2 linked regions of the Drosophila melanogaster genome follow. The protein of the gene in region 1 interacts with the protein of each later gene in a pairwise test. Each region holds a gene or a part of one and is shown on either strand. Other genes may lie near its edges.

Region 1 (7,123 bases):
GTGTATGAAAACATTTGCTTGCTAGACAGTAAAAATCATGTGCAATTTGTCATTGATAGGCGACACTGAAATCGGATTCCTCAGCCCCCCAAAAGCTAGCCATTTTTGTTTATTTATTCGGGTCTGGGGCTAAACTTCTGCGGAACTCGTTTGTCGGCTGGGGACAGCTGAGTTGGCCATAAAGGCAAGGGAATCCGGAGGGCAGCAAGTTCTCAATCTCAGCCCGAAAATCAATTTCTGTATCTTCTGTTTTAACACTTCAGCGAACATGGGAGCCTTGGCGCTCCGCTTAAAGGAATCTAAAACTAATTTAAATAAAAACCAATCTGGCATAATTCGTTGCCTCTGTGGGTAAACGACAAACTTTCAACCGTAGGACGATTTTCATTTTTATGGTGACCCTCCAACCACGTTTTCGCTTTCGCTGAACTTGAAGAAGATTAGAGGAGGAGTGGGAGGAACAGGAGGAGCAGCAGCAGCAGCCATGTGGCTCTGCATGCTGATGACTATCAAAAAAATCGAAAAGGAGAGTCCTTAAGCCCCGACACCCATCAACGGAGCCCAGAAAACAAAGCACAACACACATAAAAATGTGTAGGCACAGAGATAAGCAAACATTTTCGTTGCCTTTCCTTTATTTTCCATTTTCACACACACAATGAAAAGCGAAAGTGGAAATGCGCGCTGGTGTCTCTGCTTTCAGGCCTTGGCTGCGAAATGTCCAAAGCACGTTGTTGGGCACAATAGAATCGCTTATATAGGTCGAAGTCGCCAGTCGCGCTAGTTATAAGGCCAAGAAGAACCATAGACTATGGACCATAAAAAATTACAATAAACAGCAATAGCAGCCGCCGCAAATACAAATGAAAATGGCAGAAAGAACTCGAGGAATTTATATTGGCCGCAAATAAATGGTTATGCTGGACAGTGGACAATATACAAATGAAACGGACTGTCGTCCACAGTAACTGCTCCTCGTAGATCTAACAGCTACATTCTGTCTAACATCTATCTGTCTGTCCTTTTCTCACTCCCTCTCGTTGTGTCGGGAAATTAATTTGCGGTTTTCCATGGTATACGTATTTCCATTCACTGAATGGAAATTAATTAGCCACGCAGGGCTGTCGAATGCTGCATGTGGTTGGATGGCTAATAACCTCTGACTTGGCCAAGAAATTAGATTCTCCTCGCTGCAAATGAATCTTAATATTGGCTAAAGGCTGCAATTGAGTGTGGAGAAAAAGGAAAGCGAAAATGATGCCCTTCGATATTATTGATGGAGCATGGATTTTCGGTTAATTAAACCTAAGTTTGTATGTGAAGTGTATTTATGGTGCATGGGAAATTCCCTTTGGGAATAGCTTAATGAATGGTTTTATGATCAGTAATCAGTTATATTTATTCCCAGTTATTCCGTATTGTTGTTGTTAGTACAGCGACCCGTTTTGCAGTTTGCATACAACTCTTATCTTATAAGCTGCGCACAAAATTGATAAACTGGTTGTTACTCCACTGAACTCTATAAAACCTTCGCCAATTTGCAGAAACCACAACACCCACTCCAAAGAACCAACCCCTTCGAACTTCCTCACGCCCAACATATGGCCCCAAAAGTGGGCGGTAACAGGCGTTGGGAGACCCTCGTTTTATGGGCTGATAAAAGGACTTGGCAGCAATCAAAAACCGCAAACATGTTAACCGTTAATGCCCCCAGACACCTATAAGAGTGCTCAGTCCTTTTCCGGGTCCCGTGATCCTGGCTATATATGCGCCAAATATAAATTATATTTAAACAAAATGAAAAAAAGCCCAAACCAGAAAGTTACCATCCGGTTACAGGCCGCTCTTTCTGCCAGATCTCAATAATTCAAAACAATTTCGTTTTATTGCCGGCACTTTTTTTGGGGGCTTTCATTGTTTGGCTCGCAATGGGGCGGGGCGGTATGTGGGTGGTGAAGGCGGTAAGGGCGGGGTGGGATTTGTATTCCCCTAGAACGGTTTAACCTCAACAGAAGCATATTGACCCCGGCCAAAACATGGTCAACCCTTTTTAACTCTTGCGAGGGTCGCGTGAAAGCCAACGCGTAAAACGGATGAGGAATTAATGATGTGCACAGTGAAAAAAAAGAGATTCCCTATATACATTTTGAGTTTTAATTAGGAAATATTTGAAGAAAGAAATTTACTTAGTAACTCAACAACTTAACAGGTTCGATTATCTTTCCCTTCCACTTCCTCCTTCGTTTTTAATGATTAGGCCTGTATTAAATTCGTCTGTGTGATAATATAAATGTACATATGTGGTGGAATCCCCCGCAACTTACCGTTACTCGATACGCGGGTCTGATGAAGATGAACGGGTTCGTAATCCTTTTAGCGTCGGTTTAATGAGAAATTCCTTCACAACCACTACACACACACACACTCCAGTCCAGCGGAAGGACACACACGGGCAAGCACTGTCCTTTTAATTATCCCAAAAAAGGAGTGTGTGCAAAAATATCTTTTGGCACCCGATCAAATTGTTTTTATTGCCGCACTGGTCCGGCTTTATAACCGTTAATTGCCGTTTGCTTTTGTGTTTTGTAATTCGCAATTTAATTCAATCAAAAGTCGTACAGATTCAATTGACACACAGTCACTTCAGCATTTAATTAGTGGCCAATGCTGCTGCTGTTATCGCTTATTATTAAGATACAACGTGATAAAACGGCACCAGTATACGCGCACCAAAGACGAAACAGTCGCAGTTACTTTACGTCCGCACGCCAGAAGATTCAAAAGCCGAATGCCGATGAATGGCTGGCAAAACAAGTGGCGAACTCCCGCTGCCGTCGCTGTTAGTTCCAGATAACAGCACGTTAACAGAGTCAGAAAATGTTAACGCTCTCTCGCTGTACCCATTAATCGTAGGAAGCTGGGGCATATATATTTCAGAAATAATATGTAACAGCATTATCTCTTGGGTACTGACATCATTAATATAAAATAAAAATAAATAAATAATACAAACGACTCGCATAATAATAATAAATCTAAAAAATGCATTGATTACTAAATATTTACATTGTACAAATTAAATAGTCTTAACAACAACGGTAAAACCAAAAACAATTTTAAAAAAACTTCATATTTCATTAATTTTTTTTACATTCTTATAAAGTTTAATACTTTCATATTTATTTCAGCCGTGCGTTCTAAAGCTTGAGGGTTTCAATTGAATAAAAACTTTAAAAATAGTTTTTTATTCTCTTTCGGATTGTTTTCCATTAATTAATTTAACTTCGGTATTTTTCGGGCAAAAACATATTTGTATCGTATGGTCCAAAGAAAGGGATGTTCGCTAAGAAAAAGGTGTTTTTAGATATTAGACCATTATCAAAAAAAACCCACATATGTTGTTTTGAACATCGTTATCACCTCTTAAAACTATAAGCATTGAAATTTGGAAATAAGTTCCGGAAAGACGGCGCCTTGTGTAAATGTAAATCTATTTGGTTAAGCCTTTTATGGGCACTTTGAAAGTGTCCCAAATTTCGCATGTTCATTAATAAATCGGCGCCATAAAATTCTCTTTAAACAGTAGCTACAAATTATTTAAATGGACGCAGGACGAACGCCGATGGTAAATCGGTTCAAAAATTGAATGTAATTAAAACCCTGGCCCATAACAAAGGGCAACTGTTTCAGCTGTAAATGTTTACGCAGGCCAAAAAGGATATGACAATAACAACCACTTGATGCACAGAGAGAAAACGTGTGTACAAAAATTATAATTGTATTGTCTGTCATATACAACAGTTTCGAATAATGCAAATTCTTAAAAATGAATGCACATATACGTACTTCCAGTTTAAACACACGAAAATATTTCTCGCAGTGCAGCGTAGTGGGTTGCGTTGTCAGGACGACCACATCGACATCGACACCGGCATTGGCCAAAGCAATTGACAAGTTTCCAGCAGGTAAGCAAGTGAAAACAGAAAAAACGACGCGGAAAACGCTGAAAAGGAAGAAAACTCTGCTCTGGAGATAGGAAACAAGGACGAGGACCCAGCACCTGCAAAAGGAGCGGAAAATTGCGGGACAAGTGTTGTGCGAATTTCGCGGAAAGCCAGGAAGTGGGCAGGAAAACGGTGAAAGGAAACTGAATAGCTCGAGAGGACTCGCAGCTGGAGAGCTATTTGAATCTGAATCTGAATCCGGGTCCTCGCAGCTGGTCCTTGGCCATGAACTTCTACGACGAGGAGATCACAATCGGCGGACCCGACTCCAAGCACCTGAGCAGTGTTCAAATGGAGCCCCGAAATGGAGGAACAGGCGGTGGCAGAGGTGGTGCTGGCGGTGGTGGACCAGGAGCAGTGGGCGGAGAAGGAGCTGTACGAAGAGCAGCCGCAGGCAGGCACCGTCGAATGGTGAGTGGTAAAGAATTTCCACGGTGACGAAATGAAAATAAGTATTAAGGAGCAATTTAAATGCGTACAATTCTTGTTCAATGAATATAATAATTTCATATATGCATATTCCTTCCATGCAACAGTTCCAAAACAACTCTACTGATGACGATGGTCTGCTGCAGGACATCATTGATCACGATGACGAGGCGGAGGACAGCGAGGATGACGATGACAGCGAGATGCAGCTGCCCCAGGGCATGACCATGGGCGTGGGAATGACGGGTCTGGTGCCCGGGCCGAACATGCAAAAGCGGCCGGGAAGCAACCGAAGTTCCAAGCAAGTACCGGATGACACCCTGAGCTCGGGCAGCGAGGAGGCCGCAATGGGTGGCAGAATGGGATCCGGAGGAGCAAGAGGCGGAGCCAAGCTACCACATCAAAAGCTAACGCTTCCCATGAGGGGAAGTGCTAGTGGAGCAGGAAGATCTAAGCGGCAGGATGATCAATCCTTTATTATGAGTGCCGACAAATGGGAGGATCTGTCCGTGCCCGGAGAACTCAAGGAACTCTTTCCCTACATCGTCAAATACACCCCGCAAACGATCGATACTCCGTTTCACCTGCAACCTTTCATCCCCGAGTTTGTGCCCGCTGTGGGTGATGTGGATGCCCTTCTGAAAGTCCAGGCTCCGCCTCTTTTGCAGCCCCAACGCCAGAAGGATCTGAACGATCACTTGGAGAAATTGGGCTTATGGTTGCTCGATGAGCCCTCTGGCGCTCAAAGTGAGCCCAGTCTGCTGAATATGAAACTTCGGTCGGTACTGAGTGGCAGCATGGGGCGAAATCCGCGTCACGCCTCCTCCGCATCACTGGTTCCCACCGCCCGATCGGGCAAGGATATAGAGAAGTGGATCACTGAGGTGGAACAAGTGCATATGACTCAGTCAATGTACGATGTCCAGCCCAGAAAGGACATAGATGCCCTCCTGGAGGATTGGCCGAGATCCTTTGGCGATGAACAAACCATTAATGCCCTTGATCAGGCCTACAGATCCTGTCTGCAGCAGAACATTTCTGTAGCGGAATACGTGGGAGTTCTTTGCGAGAGATTCGGAGTGGAAGGACCTTTGGAGTCGCAGGCGGACTACATCCATAATGTCCAGACACTCTTTGCCCTCTACTTGGCCGCCAGTCAGGCGTGGGAATAATAGATGCATATAAAACATAAATCATACAAATGATCAAGGAAATCAAAACATAATTTGTTCTTAAAATATATGTTTTAAAGTTAATAAAATATTTATTCTTATAGCTTACAATTTATTTTTAATTTCTGTTTTGTATCTACTAAAGAAGTGTAATAGAGATCCAGACACAATTACACCTGACTGCAAAGAATTTAACAATTATTGTTAAATTATATAACTTATAATGCTATTTAATCAAATATTCATCGAGCATCGTATATATTTTCTCAGTGCATCGGCTGGTAGCAGCCCCACTAATAACGCTAATGGCTTCGATTAAGTGACAGCCAGACGGCGTTTGTTTGCCCCTCACGATGGGGGGATGCCCCCATATCCTTCCCTTACTTTTCCCTTTGTGCCAGGACCTGGCCTTAAATCGTTCGGAAAACGGTCAAGCCATGGCCGTGGAGCTAAGGTGCAATAAGTCTGGTGATTGAGAGCAAATACGGTTGTTATGAACAAAATGGGTGGCCAAACAAATTCTAACCAGCATCGCATCTGTAAATGTCATAATCAGCTAGTAAACGACTATCCAATTTGTCAAGCTCTTTCCAGAAAATATTTACCCTCGAGCTTTAAGTGATTTATGAGTGAAACTCATTTTAACTTTCGCAAAACTAAGATATAGATATACTTTAAAACATAATTCGGGGATATACTTTTGGCTGTAGTAGCACCAACAAATTAATTTGTTTCACCATATTTTTCGCTCTTTTCGACTTGCCAGCGGGCAGTCGCGAATTAAATGAAAATCTCCTCGAGGCGCCAGACAAGCAAGTTGAAAGGAATTCAACTACAGATATTAAAGGCAGGGAAGAACTTGAAGTGCAATATTCAAATTGAATTGAAAACGATGAGTGTTGAAGTGAAATCGTAAATAGGTGCATATCCTGTAAGATGCACAAACTGCATGCTTTGCAGTAATAATCATTCGGCAAATAGAAAGTGATTTACAAAAGAAACAATTGTGGATCCGTTCAGCTTTGGTTCTCAACTGAATACCCCACTTAGCCGGCCTGCAGTTTCGACCATCCCACTTCAGTCCATAAACCAATCATGCACTTCATCAAACACACAACAACAGCAGAAGCAGAAGCAGAAGCAACAGCTTCGCCAGAACGCAGCAGCCGGCGATGCCTAATTAGGCCCGCTTAAGACAACACACTGACCGGGCCAAAAGCAATGGGGCCAGGTCCGATGGTCGATGGTCTGCCGGAAACAGCCTTAATTATGCGTAAGCCGTAAAGAGCCCATTAATGTCATTTTCGTTGCATGGCCAAAGGACGCTGGGCGTTGGGTGGTGGGTGGTGGGCGTTGGTACTAATGTGCTTGGTGGGCGTAGGGCGTGACAAACGCATGCTTGATCAAGCGAAACGGGACTGTACTAATCAAGCGGATTCTTATCTTCTAGATAGGGAGAACATAAAAAACAATCGGGATCTTTTATATAGTGTATATAAGGGCATAAGGATATGCTAG
Region 2 (7,123 bases), on another chromosome or scaffold:
TTTACCTTTTTCTAACATTTTTTCCGTTTCATTTTAGCCGTTACTTGCCTCAGTTTTTTACAGCTTACCTCGATGGCTGCTCGACATGCACTTTGCATACATTTTACCTTTACGATCTGGCGCTGCGTTTAAATATTTAGTAGATAGTAAACTATGCGCTACCCATGTTCATCTCGGTGCGGTGATGTGCGTGTGTCTGATGAAATATTTATTAAAATAACCAAAGGCATGCAAAAGCATCGAACGACTCAAAGAGATGTGCCTTCAAGATAGAAGATTGGAGTTCGTTTGGGCTGGCAGTGAAACTATCTGAAACTGTGATAAGTAACTGTTTCGCTTTTAGAATCTTTTTAGGATCTCGACGTTCATACGGACACATACGGACGGTCATACGGACTCCGCAAGTGATCGCGATCAAGAATATATATACTTTCTAGGCTTGTCGCAAACGCTTCTTCTACTTGTTACCTACTTTTCAATGAATAGAATCTACCTATTTTATAAATAGGTTCTGCAACACTGTACTCAATGCACAGCATTCAAATAAAGTTACTATTTGATGAAGTTAAAAGAGTGATTTTCGTTCAATCCACCCAAAGCTGAAAGCCAGAAACAATTCGAAATTGAATCACAGTGACCACTTTGTGGCATCACTAATCAAAAAACGGTCAAAATAGAGCTGCATAATATGCTCTCTCTGGCTTTTCGCACGCAACCGATATTCAGCTGTATGGGCAAAATGCAGAATTTATGTTTTAATTAAAATATGTAAATGCGCCAAATCGTGTAGAAAGCTTCGTCAAGAGCCGCTTGGCCGAAAGTGACCGGGCAAAATCAGCCAAAAACATTTCACACATTTACCAATAATGCGATTGCCGCAAAAATTAAGAGCAAATCCGCCGATGTTAGTGAGTTTGTGTGCTGAACAAATTTGAAAATGTGCGCCGCTTGTTCAAAAACTGCGAACCGCGAAACAATTTAGTTTATTTGCTTCTAATTGCAAACAACAGTTGTCTGATTTCTTTGCATACATACATATATGGTTGTATATACGACTATATGTATATGTTATGTTTCCAATTTCCCTCTCTGGCGAACTAACGAATTTATTTTGGCCAGCGAAAGTGGTGCTCTTTGATATTTCAGCTGGTGCAGTCAAGGCTGAAAATCGATCCCAAATCGCAGATGGAACAAATCCACTGAATTGCCCGCAATACTTTCAACTATTTCAAAACATTTTCCGAAGAGTTTAACTTCATTTCGCCCGTTCATCCTTGACCAGAGCCCAATTCGTAAAGTTCACTGCCCCATTATTATGCATGCTTCAGTGGTATTCAACATTTGTGCTAAATCCAAACTCAGGCGTCGTCATCATCATGACCAATAAATTCGCCGAGATGTCCATTTTTATTTATTCTCGCATTTCCAGTGTTTAGTTTACGCTTGAGAAAATCGCCATTTTCCCAACTTCATTGTGAAGAAACATTTATATATGCAACTGCAGGCAACATGTGCCCAAGAGTCCTGCGAAGAAGACCAAAGTCCAGGCTCTGCTACCAAGCAAAAAAAAGAAGAAATAAATAGAGCCCAAGGAGCAAAAGGAGCGAAAGGAAGAAACAAACTCAACTCAAGTCGACTCTGTCATTGCCGTTTCAATTTCCGTTTGAATTTTGCACTTCATTTCGCAAGTTCGCAATTTTCCTTAGAAAAAATCCAGTCCAAAAAAGGACGAAAAAAAAGCAGAGAACAGAAGGCAATGCAAATACGAAAGTGTATAAACAAAACAAAACGAGCATACACTCAATGTGAAGCAGAAGATGACAATAAATTGTCACAGAGGGAAAAAAGGAGCGTTGGAAAAATTGTAAACACGAACAGCTCTCCATTCTAATGATGGAAAATCATGGGCCCAAGCGGGAGACAATTGCACGTAACAGTGACTGGCAAGTCTTCTGTTTTCCAACGAAGTCCCCCAAAAAATCCCCATCATCCACACTGCGAGAAAATGTACTGAGCCAAGTGTGCTATAAACTTTCTAAATGAAATTTAAAGTAATTTTAAGTCACAGATTAATGTATAGTAATGTATTAGTTTACATAACTATCTATTTACTTATCTGTACAACAGTTTGATATTCCAATGTTATCAGCAAAAAATTAAATTCTAATTTTTCTAAGTGCACCGGCATTGGCATTGCCTGCTGTTTATTTGTTTGACAAATAACGAGCCAAGCCCATAATGAAGGAGGTGCAAATGATGTTGGCATTGTTTATTCGACTGCGAAATGTAATAGGCGCCTTCAAGGAGCAGGACCAGAAGGATCCAGCTGGGCGGGGTCATGACTCCCAGATTTGCTTTACGTTTTTTATGGCTGATTTGACGGGAAACGGAAACGCGAAATTGCAAAAGCGCAATAAAGTGTAGCATAAACAAAGGCGCGTACGCCGAATGACTGCCTGCTGGATGGAAATATATATATATATATGTACATAGATATACATATATAAATGCTACAACTTGAAAGTAAATTTGTTTGCCTTACTGTTGGTGCTGTTGGACTTATGCTTTATCTTGTTTTATTGCACGCAACGAACAGATTGTTGTTCATCTTTTATCCGCGTTTTATATTCAATTGGTTGGGGTTTCCTGTTTGGGAAAGTAGCAAGCTGCACTTCTGGCTTACCTCTTTCAATTTATAGTAATTTCATTTAGCATTTGCGGTTTAAAGAATACATAAATATTCTTAAATCAATCTTTTCTCCCGTGAAGCATAATTGTGAAGCATTATTTACAGTTTGCTCTGCTTGGACTGTTGTTATTTTCCACTTGTTTTTCCACTTGATGGCGTTCGAATTTGCACTGGAATAACAAAATTCTACAGTCATGTCTATCACTCGAAATACATGTGTTTGTGAGCCATTATGCAGTGTCAGCAGAGTTGAGTGAAAACAGGAGAATTCCTAAAGTATGCCACCCATGCCGAGGCGTTCGGATTGACGCATGCATTTCTCGCCGGAGGCCGCCTGCATGCATATTTATGATTCGTGTGCGTCTTATAAATAAAGAAATTGCAAAATGAAAATGCAAATGCAAAAACATCAGTTCCTGTGGAACTGTGTCAACAACGCGTGCCATAAGTCTACCTGTGCTCACCCAAAACCGAGCCACAATCTGACCAGAGTCGTCTTGCACTTCACATTCAGCTGGTGTTAAGTTGTTGGGTATATTTTCATGTCTTTTCCAGCTGAATAAGAAAAAAAATCTAGCAATAAAATGTTTAATTTTTTTCTATGAGTTGTAAGCATGCTTATTGAACTGATATTATTAATAGATTATATTATTTAAACTGTTTCATGAAAACCACATTCAATTATACCCCAAAGAAAAAATATTTAAGGGGTATGAAGTCCTGCTGACATCATCGGAAAATGAGAAGACGATATCCCAAGAATTAAGGGTGGCTGTTCCGACGTATCAACAGTTGGTTCCCAGCTGCAGTTGAGGGCAAGGATACGGATAGGATTGCGCACAAGTATCCAGAAGGGGCGCTTTCTGGGCGCAGTGAGGCGTGGTCGAACTGCTTTATCGACGCTATGTAGGTTGCCAAGCGACCGTAACCAAGCGTTGCCGACGAAAACAGAAAAACGCAAAACACACAAGACCCAAACACCGAGGAGCCAGCTGGGCAGTAAGGAGCGCAAATCCCGAGAAAACGAACGGCTGTGCGAAAAAATGGTAAGAAATGTGCCTGGAAAATGTTATCAGATACTCCGAAGATACTTATGTCCCTGTCCAGATACTTTCGCGCGGAAAAACCGACTCGGCGAGCTCGAGAAATGCCAGCGGAGGTCCTGGCAGTGGACTCGGCGTTGGAAGGCAGGCAAGGAAGACTCCGGCACCGGCCTCCCTAGAGGATTTCATCATCAGGCGGGACTACACGGGAGCCCGGGCTTTTCTGGAGGTGCGTATGGATTACTTTTGCCCCAAATTCAGTGGACAATCGTTGCTGAGTTTTCACATTTTATTTTCTTATACATGGCAGCATTAACTGCCGCAGCCAGTTTTAATTTAATTGGTATGGGTTGTTTCTTTACCTATATACATTATTTTCAACTAATTAGTGGTGATAAGTACACTTTTATGTGCTAATGTTGATTTTAGTTTAGCTTACAAAAGCTTTTTATAGCCAAATCTAAGGCGACTGATTAATTTCTTGTCAAAACACAAATCGATGGAAACCAATCAAATATTACATCAAAACAAATTTGTTTATTTGCTTAACTTATAAAGCAATAGTGCACAATAAATTATTCAGCTTAATTCGCGTTCGTCGGAATTACTCAACGAAAGTGAAGTTAAATTATCCAGAATACGCCTCGAAGGTAAATTCATCGAGAGGAACAGCAGGTGCATCTTCCGGGAATTGATCTTTGAAATTTTCACACAATTCCGCATCACTTATTTCATCCAGGCATTTTTGAAAAGACGGCGATAAAGGATCTGCCTTAACTGCGATTAGCGCGATTAAAAGACACACAAACAGAGACAAGAATTTCATGGTAGAGATCACAATGCATTCTGACTAGATGTCAGCTGCTTTTATACCAGTTTGGAAGATGTTGAATTTGGCCTAGACTCGTTTTTTTGTGACTTACTTATATAGATTAATGACGCGTATAACTTTGCATCTCTTAGTCCGAATACATTAATCGATTGATAGCCATCCATTGTTTTCTGAACGACCACTGTAAAATTTGAGTCTACTGAAGTTCAATCTGTGAATTAATATATTGTGGTTCAAAGACATGTTACCTTTGTTTATTCATAATCGATTTGTGCTACCACAGAGCATAGTATTAGTTTTATCAGAAAACCACTTGCTGTGTTTGCCGAAACGGACCTGTTTTATACATAACTTGTTTTTCGATTAGCTAATTTTTGCATTTATACACAATGCTTTTATTAGTCACTATTAAAGCAGTGACGTTAAATGTCGTGATTTTTAACAAACATGTGTAACTCTCAATAATGGTATTAAAAGGAAAACAAATTATATATATGCGGTGTGTCAAGTGTAATGTTAAATCGAATTGTAGAATATCTAACTGGTCCATCCATTTCAGTTCGCCAACGACGACGAGGACGAGGAGGAGGGTGCTCATGGATCCAAGCAGAGTCAGGTGGATCAGTGGATTGCCTTTTGCAATTTCCATTTGGGTGACTACCAACAGGCGCTGGCCCAATACAAGGCCATACAGCAGGGTTCGTCAACTCCTGATGGGAAATTGGATCTCAACCTGGCCGTGTGTATGTTCTACTTGGGCTTGTACGAGGAGGCCCAACAACTGATGGCCAATGCGGCTGACAATCCGCTGAAGCAGCGACTCCTCTTCCACTTGGCCCACAAGCTGGGCAACGAGGAGGAGTGGAGCCAGCTGCAGGAGGAGCTGCAGGATTCCTCGAGCTTGGAACAGCAGCTCAGCCTGGCTTCGATGCACTACATGCGGGCCCATTACCAGGAGGCCATCGATGTGTACAAACGGGTGCTGGTGGACAACAAGGAATACCAGGCCATCAATGTCTATTTGGCCTTGTGTTTTTACAAGCTCGACTATTACGACATGTCCCAGGAGGTCTTGGATGTGTATCTCAGTCAACATGGCGATAGTACCATAGCTATTAACCTAAAGGCTTGCAATCGATTTCGTTTGTTCAACGGTCGTGTGGCCGAGCAGGAAATCAAGAATATAGCCGATAATGGCACCTTCGGAGCGGATCTTCTGCGTCACAACTTGGTCGTTTTTCGGAACGGTGAAGGGGCATTGAGAGTCCTGCCAGGATTATTGAATATCATTCCTGAGGCTCGCTTGAATCTGGCTATATACTATCTGAAGCAGGGCGATGTTCAGGAAGCTCATGCTCTGATGAAGGAACTACAGCCAACTTCGCCGCATGAGTACATACTCAAAGGAGTGGTCCATGCCGCCCTGGGCCAGCAATTGGGATCGGTAAGGAAATGGATACAGATCTCGATGGGGAAAGCAATGTTACCATATCCTTTTCCTTATAGAAAGAGCACATCAAGACGGCCCAGCAAAACCTGCATTTGGTGGGCAGTTCGGCAACAGAGTGTGACACTATACCGGGTCGTCAGAGTATGGCCTCCGCCTTTTTCCTCTACGAGCAATTCGAGGAGGTGCTGGTCTACATGAACTCCATTCGCAGTTACTTCGTGAACGACGATGTTTTCAACTATAACTTTGCCCAGGCGAAATGCGCCACAGGATATTACAAGGAGGCGGAGGAGTTGCTGATGCAGATCTCCGACATGGATATCAAGAACCAGCATACCTACTGCATGATCCTGGCCAAGTGCCACATACATTGCGGTCACCCTGAGCTAGCTTGGAATGTATTCATCACCAGGGATACGAATGCGGAGGCATTTATCCTGTTGCAACTGATTGCCAATGAGTGTTACAAGTGTGCCGAATTTTGGGTGGCAGCCAAAGCATTTGATATGCTCGAAAAGTAAGTGGATTAATTAAGTAGCAAAATTAAAACAATTTACAAATAATTGGATTTAACAGACTAGATCCCAGTCCGGAGAATTGGGAGGGCAAAAGGGGCGCCTGCGCCGGAGTTTTGTTCGCCTTGTGCACCAAGGCACAAAGAGGTCGTCCTGGTGGAGGAATCTCAGAGGTCATCGGCATCCTACGCGACTCGTCGAACTCGCAGGCTGAGGCCATGATCAAAACGATTCGAAAGCACATCAATCATTTTAAATAAATAATAAACTGAAGGCAAAATTAGATTTTGTTTATGTTAAGGCCAATTTCACACATATTAATACAATAAAAAGTTACTTTTCAAAATCAAATATTTATATGATAAGCTTGGCAAAATTGTGGTCGCCTTTCAATGCTTAAGTGAAATCACTTAAAATTGGTGTACTATTTTAATAATTAATTTAAATTTGGTCAGCCGCAACTCAAGTCAAAGACGATGGATTTTGGAGAGCTTATTTAAAATGGAAATAGCTTCTAAGTGGTGAAAAACGATACTAATTCATTTGCAATTGGCCTGGCAGCAGTTTTCACATGATACCTGATTAATTTGCGGC

What was found.
Region 2: the proteins of IFT46 (region 1) and Ttc26 interact in a two-hybrid assay, tested with the Drosophila melanogaster proteins (one large-scale study listed by BioGRID).

What each region holds. Positions count from the first base shown.
Region 1 is NT_033779.5:18,612,926-18,620,048, reverse strand, and holds IFT46 (intraflagellar transport 46), read left to right. Parts: upstream 1-3,942; 5' UTR 3,943-4,229; coding exon 4,230-4,415; intron 4,416-4,540; coding exon 4,541-5,605; 3' UTR 5,606-5,710; downstream 5,711-7,123.
Region 2 is NT_033777.3:15,770,764-15,777,886, forward strand, and holds Ttc26 (tetratricopeptide repeat domain 26), read left to right. Parts: upstream 1-3,652; 5' UTR 3,653-3,732; coding exon 3,733-3,735; exon of another isoform or gene 3,736-3,796; coding exon 3,797-3,961; intron 3,962-4,008; exon of another isoform or gene 4,009-4,360; coding exon of another isoform or gene 4,361-4,558; exon of another isoform or gene 4,559-4,579; intron 4,580-5,123; coding exon 5,124-6,008; intron 6,009-6,070; coding exon 6,071-6,531; intron 6,532-6,590; coding exon 6,591-6,789; 3' UTR 6,790-6,877; downstream 6,878-7,123. Other genes in the region: CG45207 (uncharacterized protein), read right to left, coding at 4,361-4,558.